Linked DNA regions of Arabidopsis thaliana. The main gene of each other region encodes a partner of the protein of the gene in region 2 in a complex. Each region holds a gene or a part of one and is shown on either strand. Other genes may lie near its edges. A codon is read from its position in the direction of its gene.

Region 1 (6,793 bases), on a different chromosome or scaffold from region 2:
ATGTCTTGGTTGAAATCTTTACCGTGTACAACAAGCAATATGCTTAAACCAAGAAAGAGAGATATTGACATAACCAAAAGTGTACTAGAAACCATTATAAGTTTTGAAGGTTTTAGGTGGGTTTAAGGGTTTGAATTGGGTTTGAGACATTTAGAAGGCTATTGATTGGTGAGTATTTATAGAGCATATATAATGGAGTTTTGATTCCTTAATGATTAGTTATATATTGTTAATATTTCAGTCTTTGAGCTTTACTTTAATTTTCTTTAAGAAAAAAGGTGAGTTTAGTGTGGGTAATGTGAAAAACGAAACAGCCTGGAGAGCATACACATCAAAACTATAGTGCGATACATCATAAACATTAAATTAACTATTGTTAATGTGTTACATCCTAAGCTTAGCCAGCCTAATTTAAACATCTCACTTTTTATATATATAGTGGAGTTTGTAAAATTTCAACTTTTTGGACGGTACCATTTCATCATAAATCTTTTAAAATTAATGTGATTGGCCTTTACCTCTTGATTGCGTAGACAGACTAATTGGATATAATATGATTTATAAATGGTTAACAATCAAATAATAATTTTGAATTGATGTAACGAGTAACAAATTAAAAGGATTGGTCATCGATTAATATGCTCTCTTCTTATCTCATTGTTTTGTTTCTCTCGGAGTTGTCAATTTACACAGCACAAACAAAAGTCTTGAAATTCTCTACAACTACTGTTACGTTTTTTTTCCGGCGAGCTGAGCTGAACGCAAATAATCTCCCTCTTCTCTACTAATCTCACCGGAAACAAAAAAAAAACTTTCTATCCTCCTCCGACGTCGTTAGACACACAAACACTCATACAATGATACAAACTCTCATACCAACTGAAGTGTGACTAATATGGCATCATCAGCATCATGTCACCACTTCCACTAGCAGTTGACAATGGTCGCTTTCGAGGTACAGGGAGTTCCAGAATGATGAGGAAATAGGACCGTTCTGATTCTCGGATGTATTGAACCTCACCGTTCATTAGCTTTAAAATCTTTCGACATACGCTTAGACCTAAACCTTCAGGGCTTGTCCACCTGCTGCTATGGAACATGTCTCGGACTAGCTCTGGAGGCAGACCTTCACCTGGACACGCCATTCTGCAAACAACGAATAAAGACATAACAAAGACACCAACACATGAAACCCAAGTTTTACACTTTTGAGCTGGTTTTCATCAATTTGAAAACATTACATTCCTTGACTGCTAATTCTAGGCCTATGGATGTGTCTAAAAGTTCCCAAGTCGACTAAACCGAATACAAAAATCAAACTAATCTAGGTTCCAACTAAACAATAACCAAAACAAATAGTGAATTGGTTAAAACCTCAAATTCTTTAAACGCCTAAATCAAATTCGTAATTAACCAAACCAAATTCATTTTCTTTATGTACAAAATAAGGAACCAAAAAAACCGGATTGCATAATTTTGGTTATGGATATGTGGAGACAACAGCGGGAACAATGAAATGTACCTGAATTCTGTGCGGATGGCGGCGAATCCATCAGCCATTTGCTTTGAAAGTTGGCTTAAATGGATCTCCACCCACTCTTGAGATGGTGCATACCGGATTATACTCAGCAGAAACTCAGCCAGGAGCTGTTGAATCCTTATCTGGTCTCCAAAAACCTCTATTGATTTGATCTCTTCGGGAATGTCACGGATCAGCTGAAGACCTCTGTCCCTTAATAAGAACATCGCTTGACTTACAATCGCGTTTATGACACTTCCAAGGAAAAACTCTTCCCTCTTTAGCACAAATGAACTGATCAATGAAAAAAACAAAATTTGGGATTTGGTCACATTTTGTGAAGTAAGCAAAACTAGCTTCTAGATAAATTCTAACTATACTCACCCGTCTTCAATGCTTTCAAGATCCATGTCCCCGACGATCCTTGAGATCTGTTTCTCGCAAGAAACACTTGTTTCAAGTAACTGCTTCTGGTCCTCGTTCAAGTCTGTGGCCTCCAACAATGAGTTTGCGAAACGCATACCGCTCAAAGGATTCTTTATCACCTGACAAATATAAGCCAACTCTTTTGCCTTCGTGAAACACTCTGTGTCCTGCCTCCGTTGGACTGCTAAAGCTTGCTGCAGCTCAGGGCTCGGGATTTGCAAGAAACAGAAAGCCCCAATAACCTTTCCCTCGAGGCTAACCCGCTTGTTTGCAGTCAATAGAGCCTGAACAAACTTCCCATTGCGGTCAAAGAATGGGAAAGGGAACTTATCCGTATCTTGGCCACCAATCGCATTATGCAATACAATCATGAACTTGGTTAAAGCATCAGGACCCTTTAGCATGCAACAGCTCCCAAACACTTCCCCGACAATCATTTTCCCAATCACTTCACTGCGAGACCAACCCGTAAGCTTTTCCATCGCCATGTTCCATTCCAGGCAGCACGTGTTCTCGTCAGCAGCAAAAATTGGCGGGATTAGAGGGTTTGGGCTATGTACAATAGCCTTGTAATCTCCTTGTATGTTGATGAACTTATCCATTACGATTTTCTGACTAGTAACGTCTTGTCCAACAAAACAAACGCCGACAATGTTGTTCAAGTAGTCCTTGCTGGAACAAGCATTCACAACCACAAAAACTGCTTTCCCTTGTAGTTCGGGGCTGAAAGTTTTCAGCTTAACCTCCACATTCTTTTCCTCGTCCCCTGCATTGCCAAATGCAACAAAATAATCAAATACCCGCGAATTGGTATATACACCGCAGATACAACATAGCTGAAGAACTGAATATACCTCTCAAAGCACGAGAAAGAAGCTTATTGACAGTTGCTTCATTCTCTTTGTATATTAAATCAGAAACCAGAGACTTCCCCATAGCTTCTTCAACTGAGAGACCTGTCAACTCTGCAATCTTAGCGTTCCATCCATTGATGCAGCCTCCGGCATCCACAGCGAATATAGGAACAGTTGCAGTCTCAATGAGCCTAACCATCTCTCTTGCAACTGCACCTAACTCATCAATCCCCTGTTCCCCCGCCATATCCCTACATGGCTGAACCACACCATCCACAACTTTAGAGTTCATAGCCGCCTCAGATTCTTTAAAAGAGTCTCTCAGAATAAGCTGGAGCGAGTGAATCGCATCCATTTCCGCAGTTTCCCATGGCTGACTCCGGCTCTTAACAACTTCAAGAAAAGCCTGAAAGGACGAACGAGGATGCATTCGTTGCCCATCATCTTTATCCTCCGGATGATGCTTAGCGCCTCCCCATTTGATTTCTTTCGCAGTGTGAGATCGAAACCAAAAAAGAAAGTCTCTTTTTGTGATATATGCAACTGCCATACCGCACACAGCATCCCCTAACGCAGCTGCACCGGGATACCCCGCATCGCCTAAACTATCAGTGCTTAATCCGGTTGAATCCGCATGATTCGCAAGCAACCACTCCACAACATCTTTTATCTGAACTTCACTAGGAGCAACACCCAACGGGTAATACTTCCCGTGGTAAAGAAATGCTGCACCGTCACATTTCACTAAGTCCATGATACTGGGACTCTGTGTAACAATTCCAGCAGGCGAGTCACGCAGAAGCATATCACATAACAGTGTCTGCGTTCTCAAAACGCGTTTCTCTGACATTTGCAAAGCTAACTGCAATTCCATGTTTAACTGTAAACCGAAAGCCTGCATCAAAAACTCACAAGCATACCTTAGCGGAAACGGTATGCAGCGAGAAGAAGTGTGATGGCAAACAACCAAACCCCAAAGCCTCATCGAGCTTCTTCCACTAGCTACATTGCTCCCATCATCTTCATTTCCATTGATTATAACCGCCATTGCTAAAGACGCAATAGATCCCATGTTAGCCATATACTGAGAGTGACAACCATGAGGAGCCCTAAGAGTAGAACCAACCAAGCACATAGACTGAGTTAGCCTATCGTCCTGGACCACAAGAACAGGTGTGGCATTGCAATCTACTATCATTCGGACACGGTTCTGCTTAAACAAGAACCTTGACGCTTGAGGAATATCAGTAGCAGGATAATGCAGTCCAATATAAGGCTCTAAATCATCTCGTTTACTCTCAGCTACAACTTCTCCATGCTCATCTTCATGAAACTTATAAACCATAACACGATCATAACCAGTCAAGTCCCTCACACTTTCCACGACAGTGTCACACAAAAGCTTAATATCTCCACCAGGAAGAGCCTGTAACTGAGAAATCGCACGAACCGCGAGTTTCTGCGATTGAACAGCACCAGCAATAGAAAGCGCAGGATCTTCAGTTCTAGCTGGCTCTAAATCAATAACAACACCAACATCAATCCTATGAAGAATGGCGTAAAACGGTTTACCAGTATTCTTGGAATGGATCCAAACCGGATTTAACAAGGTAATCTCTCGAGCAACGAAAGCACGCTCGAGTAGAATCGAGCTCGAAGAAGTGAACAAAGATCTCACATCAGTTCCCATAGCTAGAATCTCAGGTTTCTCAAGAGTAGGAACAGATTGAGGCATAATCCCTAACATTTCTCTGGCGTTTTCACTGTAACCGATGATCCGGAAACTGGATTCATCGACGGCGATCATACATCCGAAAGGCTGAATGTAACCACCTCGCTGGATTCGAGAGAGATAAGCTGTGATCTGTTGCTCAGGTACAGAGGAACCGTACGTCGTCGTTTTGAGTGATTGTGAGTAGTCGAATGATTTCCCTGATTCGCCGGATTGTTCGAAAACGGCGTGGAGTCTTGCGTCGACGGTGTACTGTTGAATTGCTTTGCTCATTGATTCAGTGTTGCTTCTTGGTCTGAGAGATTTCGTTCCCGACGATTGAGCTTGTTCTCCTCCTCTTCGGTTATTAGGAGTGTGACTTGACGACGGTTCTTCTTCTCCGCCACGGCCACCGCCACGGCCACCGCCACTACCCCCGACTCCGGAAACCATGCCGTTTGATTTTGAATTTGAGAAATTTCTCAGAATTACCTTGAGACAAGGAAGGATTTAGGGTGAATCATCATCCACTAGTTATCGGAGACGAATTCTGGTAGAGCTAAATTCTCAAGAATTTTGAACTTGAGGAAGAAGAAAATGGGGAGAATTGAGATCGGAGATAAGTGGAGAAACCAATAAAATAAATTGAAGAAGACGAAGCAAAATGTGTGCCTCTCAGATAGAGAGAGATAACAAAAAAAAATCAGAGTTTTTTTTTTTTTTGTCGTCTTCGCTTTTTGTTTCCTCATATATTTTCTGCGACTTTTTTTGTGTGGCGATTTTAGCAAATTACCTTTAAAGTTTTGATATTTATCAATTTAACCCAGAAGAGCTTTTGTTTTGTCGTTTAATGTGAGGGAGAGATTGATTGGGCCCAAGATCACGTGGGCTAATGGTTTATTCTCTCTAGTGGCCACACGTGGTTGCTGGGCCCATTGCGCGTGGGAGGGAGCCCCTGGACTTGTCGAATCGCATCATCAATTACGATTTCGAATTCGTACTATACAAGTTTGGTTTCTTCAATATCTTATCGTGGGTCAAGTCAACCAAGTGGTGTCCTCTCTATACAAATATTGAAATGTTTTATACTCTCATCGTACGTATATACTTCTCATAATTTGTACTAGATAGAATATAGAATCACATATTGGTCTCAAAGGGGTTCGAAGTAGTATTAGCACGCTCCATGCGGAATAGAATCATAAATTTTGCATAGTAAACTCGTCTAATACATAAGATATATTTTGGTCCACTTTGATATATACGTTGGATCTATATCATTACATTTTGTATAATACATGCATTGTACTACTTAGCATTACGTTTTATTGAATATATGCAATTCTTTTTTGACATATTAATGATTCTAAATTTGGATTATTTGGTGAAAGCATACAATTATGGTGCTTCGAAAAAAGAACATAAAATAAATTAAAGTAATGATAAAGAGGAAAAAAAGAGAGCAGAAAAACATATAAATGAGAAAAATCGTGTGCATGAAAAGTTAAGGGTCCATTACATAAATGATTTTGGGCCGCTCACAGTTTCATGTTAAGTCACTGCGTTCGTCCTTTTCTTTTGTTGAATGACTAATTTCTCCATCTCGTGTTGTTTGTTTTCAAAGCTCTATCATAATAAGTTAAGTATAACCGACCACTTTTTCTTTTTAACACTATTACATATATAAACATCCATGTTACCATGTATGAAGACAAAAACGATTATCTTATATACCCATAAAATATTATGGACCAAAAGTGAATAGTGAAAAGAAAACAGAAAAAAATTGGAATGACAAAAGAAAAACACACTATTCGTTGACAAAACAAAAGTTTAAATGTTTATTAGTGAGTAATGACCTCATATGTTTTGGTCTTATCTTGGACGAGATATGATTGGATGTCCACGAATTTAATCATGTACCTGTTCGCACTAGAGTGTACTAGTTCGTTGGCTAAGAATCGTCCACGTACAATAGTTTTAAACCACCAGTAATTTACCACGTGCCACTGAAATCAAATTAGCTAATAAACTACTCAATTACCAAATCACCCTTATAAACTCTCAATGATTCTTTAGGCTTGGCTGCTAATTTCTTAAAACTTTTGCATAACTTTTGCATAAATAAGAATAAGACAAAAGATGAAATTAATATAAGGGTACAATCGTAATTCAAGAATTTCCAAAATTCGTTCTTTAGTATAACGAAGAACTAGCTAGACATTATTAGGCATTGGGGCATACTTTAAAGCCCAAAACTAAGCCCTCCCATACTAATAAATC
Region 2 (5,115 bases):
ATATCTTCAAAATTAGAGGTTTTTGACCACCACTCTGATATATTTTTGGCTTCGAAACCAACCAACAAAAAACATAGCGGTTTAAAAATTAAAAAACCGTCTTTATCATAAACCAAACCATAAAATGCAGTGATTCACCTTCTAATCTTCTGTTTGACGTACAAGTGATAAATGACTTCAAAGCTACTCCCGTTTCTTTACGAGTGATTTCATTTCATCATAAAGAAATATGTGTTGCTCTTGTTCTTAGAAAATTATTTCTCCCAGTCCTTTACAATAATGTAGATTTCTTCTGTTAGTATGATAAATATATATATGATTGAATGTATATATTTAACATGTTTTACGAAAAAAGTCAGTGTATACTATTTATGGGAAAAGTATCACTAACTTCGAAATATAGTTGATATTTGTTAGTTTTATGTCTACTTTAATTTAAGTCATTTAATCAAAAATTATAATGTTGAGGTCCATAAACTTTAAAAGTCCCAATAATGTGTAATTAAGTTTTAGAAAGAATACTTATTGGATTTTCATCTATGACTCTATTTAGAAAAGTTGTGTCTACAGTGACTAGCTGCAAAAAAAAGGTTATGTATAGTATCGATTGCCCCTTAAAACGGAGTGAAAACATGTTTTCTTGAATCAAATCCAAAGTTTACAAAATAGAGGAAGATTTAGATATGGTCTCTAAAGTCTAAAGTAGTCTAGGACTAGGAGGGCAATCTTGTGAGGTATTAGTGATGTTCTTTTCATGTATTTAATATATAAATGTAAGTTTGCTGAAGCTTAATACATTAATGAATATGAATGCATGAAAACTCGATAAAGCAAGATACGTGCGTGTTACTACTATTTGAGGTTTCGTTCGTGCCTTTTAGAATAGACCTATTGATACTATATTTTATTTCAATAATTTGGGTTAGATTACGCGCTAACCCCGTGATTGATTTGTTTTTTTTTTGTCTTTAATAATAATAATTACCGAATCTTAAAACATGATAATGATACGTGTGGGTGTGTGACATTATGTTCTCTTTTAAGATTCTATATGACGTCATTTCCCTTCCAAATGACATTTGATTTGCCCTTGTGCCGATGCATAGTTTTAGGCTCTATCTCTTTCCTTTTTTCGTGATGACAAGGTTAAAGCCTTATAACCTCTTGGCCCAATAAATTTGTATTTGTATATGTAATATGTTAGATCAAAATGTTTTACTGTGCAATGTTATTTTACTTGGTTTAATATTTCAAACGACAATGTTACCCTGAAATAGTATAATAGCTAGAGATCCCTACTTGTAAATATCAAAACATTGAAAACTATTTTTCTGAATCATTTGGTGTAACCGGCTAAGTTATATTATTGGTCGGACACCAAATATTATAGAATAGAAAAATAAAATAAAATAAAAGGATGCATGAGTGAGTCATTTGTTATGGAAGAGTAGTGAGGACAAGTGTCTAATACACTGCATACGGGTACCCCCAAAAAAAAAAACACAAAGGTACATTGAATCACGTGGCTTTCACGTGAACTTCACGCTCTGCTTTTTTTACTTCTTCCATTGTTTGGTCTACTTTTTCCTTTCAAGAGAATGCTGCCAAACACCTTGTAGGTCCTATCAATATTTTTTGTGGGCCCAGCCCATTCCTTATTGTTCTTGTACTGTGAATGTTCTTCCCACAACCACGTGGGCTTTTTGGCCCGTTCTCTCTCTCTCTCCTCCCCAACACTTTTTTTTTTGTCGTACTATCGGTTTGTGAAACAGAGATTTGTTGTTTCACTGATGTTTACAAAAGATATTTGTCTATGTTGTGGCAATCTGATATTCTGACGGATGTCTATTATTATATTTTTAAGTCCTTTCTATTTGTATTTTATGTGATTTCGTTTTTGGAAACGACATCCCTTGCATTTAAATAATCTTTTTATAATTTATAAAGGCACAATAAAGTATCAAAAAAAAAATCTCAAAGATGCTAAGATTCGACTTATATAAACAGTGGTACTGTACAACAGGAAATTCATTGCACCTGAAAAAATAATTAAAAACAGGTGAAAGAGATAATAATACCAAAAAAATGAAAAGGAAAGAAAAGCGAAATATAAAATAAGAGCAAAAGAGTCTGAAGTTGATCAACAAAAGAAAGATTAGCTTTCACTTACTTCCACTGAAGAAATAACTTTTGGAACATTCAACAAGACAACAAAATATGACTTCCCCATCATCCACCTTCAGACCAAATTAAGTTCTTCAATCTTGTTTCCCTGTTTCACACACATATATATATATATATATATATATATATATATATGTGTGTGTTTGTGTGCAGACGATGATGTTCTTACCAACCGATTATTGTTGCAGGTTAAGCGATCAAGAGTATATGGAGCTTGTGTTTGAGAATGGCCAGATTCTTGCAAAGGGCCAAAGATCCAACGTTTCTCTGCATAATCAACGTACCAAATCGATCATGGATTTGTATGAGGCAGAGTATAACGAGGATTTCATGAAGAGTATCATCCATGGTGGTGGTGGTGCCATCACAAATCTCGGGGACACGCAGGTTGTTCCACAAAGTCATGTTGCTGCTGCCCATGAAACAAACATGTTGGAAAGCAATAAACATGTTGACGATTCTGAGACTTTGAAAGCTTCTTCATCAAAGAGGATGATGGTTGATTATCATAACCGAAAGAAGATCAAGTTTATACCTCCTGATGAGCAATCCGTGGTTGCTGATAGGTCGTTCAAATTGGGCTTTGACACTTCCTCCGTAGGTTTCACTGAAGACAGTGAAGGATCGATGTATCTAAGCAGTGTAAGAGGGATTGATTCACAATTTTTTTGGTTTGGTCTATCTTGTTAGGTTCTTGTCTGAAGACAGGTTTTGTCTCAACGCAGAGTCTAGATGACGAGTCAGATGATGCGAGGCCACAAGTTCCTGCAAGAACAAGAAAAGCTTTGGTCAAAAGAAAACGAAATGCAGAAGCGTATAATTCACCTGAGAGAGTAAGTAATCTCTTTAAGATACAAAGCATAGTGAACACTGAATCTGATACAACGGTATAATGGTATTGTGCAACACAGAATCAAAGAAATGATATCAACAAGAAAATGCGTACTTTGCAAAATCTACTACCTAACTCTCACAAGGTTTATCATAAGAACCAACTTTTTCATTTATTTCGAAAGAGATCAAAAGCTTTTTAAAGAGTCTATACTTACATTTCCCTAAATACTCAATATTGTCCATAGGACGACAACGAATCGATGTTGGATGAAGCAATCAATTATATGACAAACCTTCAACTTCAAGTTCAGGTATAATAAACAAATACTTCAAACACTTTTTCACATCAAAAACAGATTCAATCTAAAGATTCTTTGTCCTAACCTGTATAAATGTTGGATGGTAGATGATGACGATGGGTAACAGATTTGTTACACCATCAATGATGATGCCTTTGGGGCCGAACTACTCTCAGATGGGTCTAGCAATGGGTGTGGGAATGCAAATGGGCGAACAACAGTTTCTGCCTGCACATGTTCTAGGAGCTGGCTTGCCTGGGATTAATGATTCAGCAGATATGCTAAGGTTTCTTAACCATCCTGGACTAATGCCAATGCAAAACTCTGCACCTTTCATTCCAACGGAAAATTGTTCCCCACAATCTGTCCCTCCATCGTGCGCTGCTTTCCCTAACCAAATACCAAATCCCAACTCTTTGTCAAATTTAGATGGTGCAACCTTACACAAGAAATCAAGGAAAACTAACAGATGAAGGAATTCTCCCTGGTAAAAATCTGGAAACCCGTGAGCAGATGAAGTAAACAGTGATGATTGTTACCTGCGGATTCACGGTCTTCTTCTTCATGAGTTAGTCGTGAGAACACTAGAGCCATCTCAAGGTGAACCATACAGATCCACAAAAGCACTACAACGACATCAGAACAACTACCATGGAAGGATCTCCTCAAGGTTCTCTTTTTTAGTGCCGGCTTTTCTAGTTCATGTAACATATAGATATAGGAAAGGAGCTATAATAATAACAATAATAATCACGAGTACTAGTTTCCTTCGAATGAATAAGACTGCATGTTAGAAACATTAATAAATTATCGAACACTATCGGAGTGATAAAAATCATAACTCGACGTTCCTCTCTGTTTATGAAACAAGCTGCTGACTTTATACAATGGAGTGAAGCTATTGTTTCTAGAATCCAAACAAGAGGCATAGCATACAAATACTCAACTCACTTTACCCGGTTCTATTCTATTTATATGATACTGAGTGTATTTCTTCACTAAGAACAACAGGAAGAGAAGAGATCGCACCGCAATGAAGATGCATTGTTCAGCTATGCTGCTTCAAGAATCTTTTTTCCGCTATCTTTCATCTGAGCTGGCTCAGTAGCTTGCTCTTCCAATGTTTGTTTCGTCTTGCCAAGTTTAAGCTCTGAGAACATCTCAGTCAGTGAATCTGCAGTATCTGAAGTCGCTGGTAGGACCTGAGAACTTTCACTTTCAAGGTCCATCTCTAGTTCCAGTAATTCTTCTTCGATATCTTCATCATCAATATCTGGATATGGAGCTGATTCTGCCGCATTAACAGAAAAAATCTAGCTAAACACAAAAGTTGATGAAGTAATCGTGTATGTATGTTTAAACGACAAAACACCACTTACCGAGAGCTTTTTCGACTTGCTTCTGTGATTCAATAGTTTCCTCAAGTTCTTCTAGATAGTCATGAACATCATCTGCACTGATCTTGATGTCCTTCATAACCCTAGCTCCAGTTTTAATTGCTTCTGAGACCTGCCAAACACACATAGATACTTCTAAAATCCATAATTGATACTATTACATAGACCCAAACATGGTCGTTCGACCTATGGGGTTTCTCAGTGTTTGAAGTACCATTTTCGTAGATTCGGAATCCGCTATAGTGTTCAACACTTCTTCTACTCTGTTCAGAAGTGACGTGCATTTTTCTCTGCTCTCAGTCACCACCTTCAATTCCCTTGCATGCCTTAGAGCAACTTTCCTGTGTCCAGACTTTAGAGATGCCAGCGCTGATTTCTTTGACCTACAAAAGGGAAAAGAA

The links. The genes of interacting proteins can lie anywhere in the genome.
Region 1: the proteins of PIL2 (region 2) and PHYB are in contact, whole or in part, in a cryo-EM structure (PDB 9JLB), measured with the Arabidopsis thaliana proteins. Residues at the interface, in NP_001078329.1 of Arabidopsis thaliana: Leu12 (codon at 2,374), Ser13 (codon at 2,377), Asp14 (codon at 2,380), Gln15 (codon at 2,383), Glu16 (codon at 2,386), Tyr17 (codon at 2,389), Met18 (codon at 2,392), Glu19 (codon at 2,395), Leu20 (codon at 2,398), Val21 (codon at 2,401), Phe22 (codon at 2,404), Ile27 (codon at 2,419), Ala29 (codon at 2,425), Gln32 (codon at 2,434), Arg33 (codon at 2,437), Gln41 (codon at 2,461), Arg42 (codon at 2,464), Ile46 (codon at 2,476), Leu49 (codon at 2,485), Tyr50 (codon at 2,488), Ala52 (codon at 2,494), Glu53 (codon at 2,497), Tyr54 (codon at 2,500), Asn55 (codon at 2,503), Phe58 (codon at 2,512), Met59 (codon at 2,515); in NP_179469.1 of Arabidopsis thaliana: Tyr61 (codon at 4,783), Glu98 (codon at 4,672), Ile101 (codon at 4,663), Thr102 (codon at 4,660), Leu105 (codon at 4,651), Gln109 (codon at 4,639), Arg110 (codon at 4,636), Glu125 (codon at 4,591), Ser170 (codon at 4,456), Ile173 (codon at 4,447), Leu174 (codon at 4,444), Arg177 (codon at 4,435), Ala181 (codon at 4,423), Arg182 (codon at 4,420), Glu183 (codon at 4,417), Ile184 (codon at 4,414), Thr185 (codon at 4,411), Leu186 (codon at 4,408), Leu187 (codon at 4,405), Asn188 (codon at 4,402), His206 (codon at 4,348), Arg207 (codon at 4,345), Ile208 (codon at 4,342), Asp209 (codon at 4,339), Gly211 (codon at 4,333), Ala311 (codon at 4,033), Phe314 (codon at 4,024), Lys317 (codon at 4,015), Gln318 (codon at 4,012), Asn319 (codon at 4,009).

Annotation. Positions count from the first base shown.
Region 1 is NC_003071.7:8,138,249-8,145,041, reverse strand, and holds PHYB (phytochrome B), read right to left. Parts: upstream 5,280-6,793; 5' UTR 4,964-5,279; coding exon 2,800-4,963; intron 2,712-2,799; coding exon 1,904-2,711; intron 1,814-1,903; coding exon 1,523-1,813; coding exon of another isoform or gene 1,393-1,522; exon of another isoform or gene 1,147-1,392; coding exon 891-1,146; 3' UTR 581-890; downstream 1-580. Other genes in the region: XTH21 (xyloglucan endotransglucosylase/hydrolase 21), read right to left, coding at 1-95. UniProt on the Arabidopsis thaliana protein: Regulatory photoreceptor which exists in two forms that are reversibly interconvertible by light: the Pr form that absorbs maximally in the red region of the spectrum and the Pfr form that absorbs maximally in the far-red region.
Region 2 is NC_003074.8:22,987,772-22,992,886, reverse strand, and holds PIL2 (phytochrome interacting factor 3-like 2), read left to right. Parts: upstream 1-2,177; 5' UTR 2,178-2,340; coding exon 2,341-2,826; exon of another isoform or gene 2,827-2,909; coding exon 2,910-3,017; intron 3,018-3,095; coding exon 3,096-3,161; intron 3,162-3,263; coding exon 3,264-3,329; intron 3,330-3,402; exon of another isoform or gene 3,403-3,424; coding exon 3,425-3,790; 3' UTR 3,791-4,340; downstream 4,341-5,115. Other genes in the region: AT3G62080 (SNF7 family protein), read right to left, coding at 4,370-4,608, 4,697-4,826, 4,929-5,097. UniProt on the Arabidopsis thaliana protein: Transcription factor.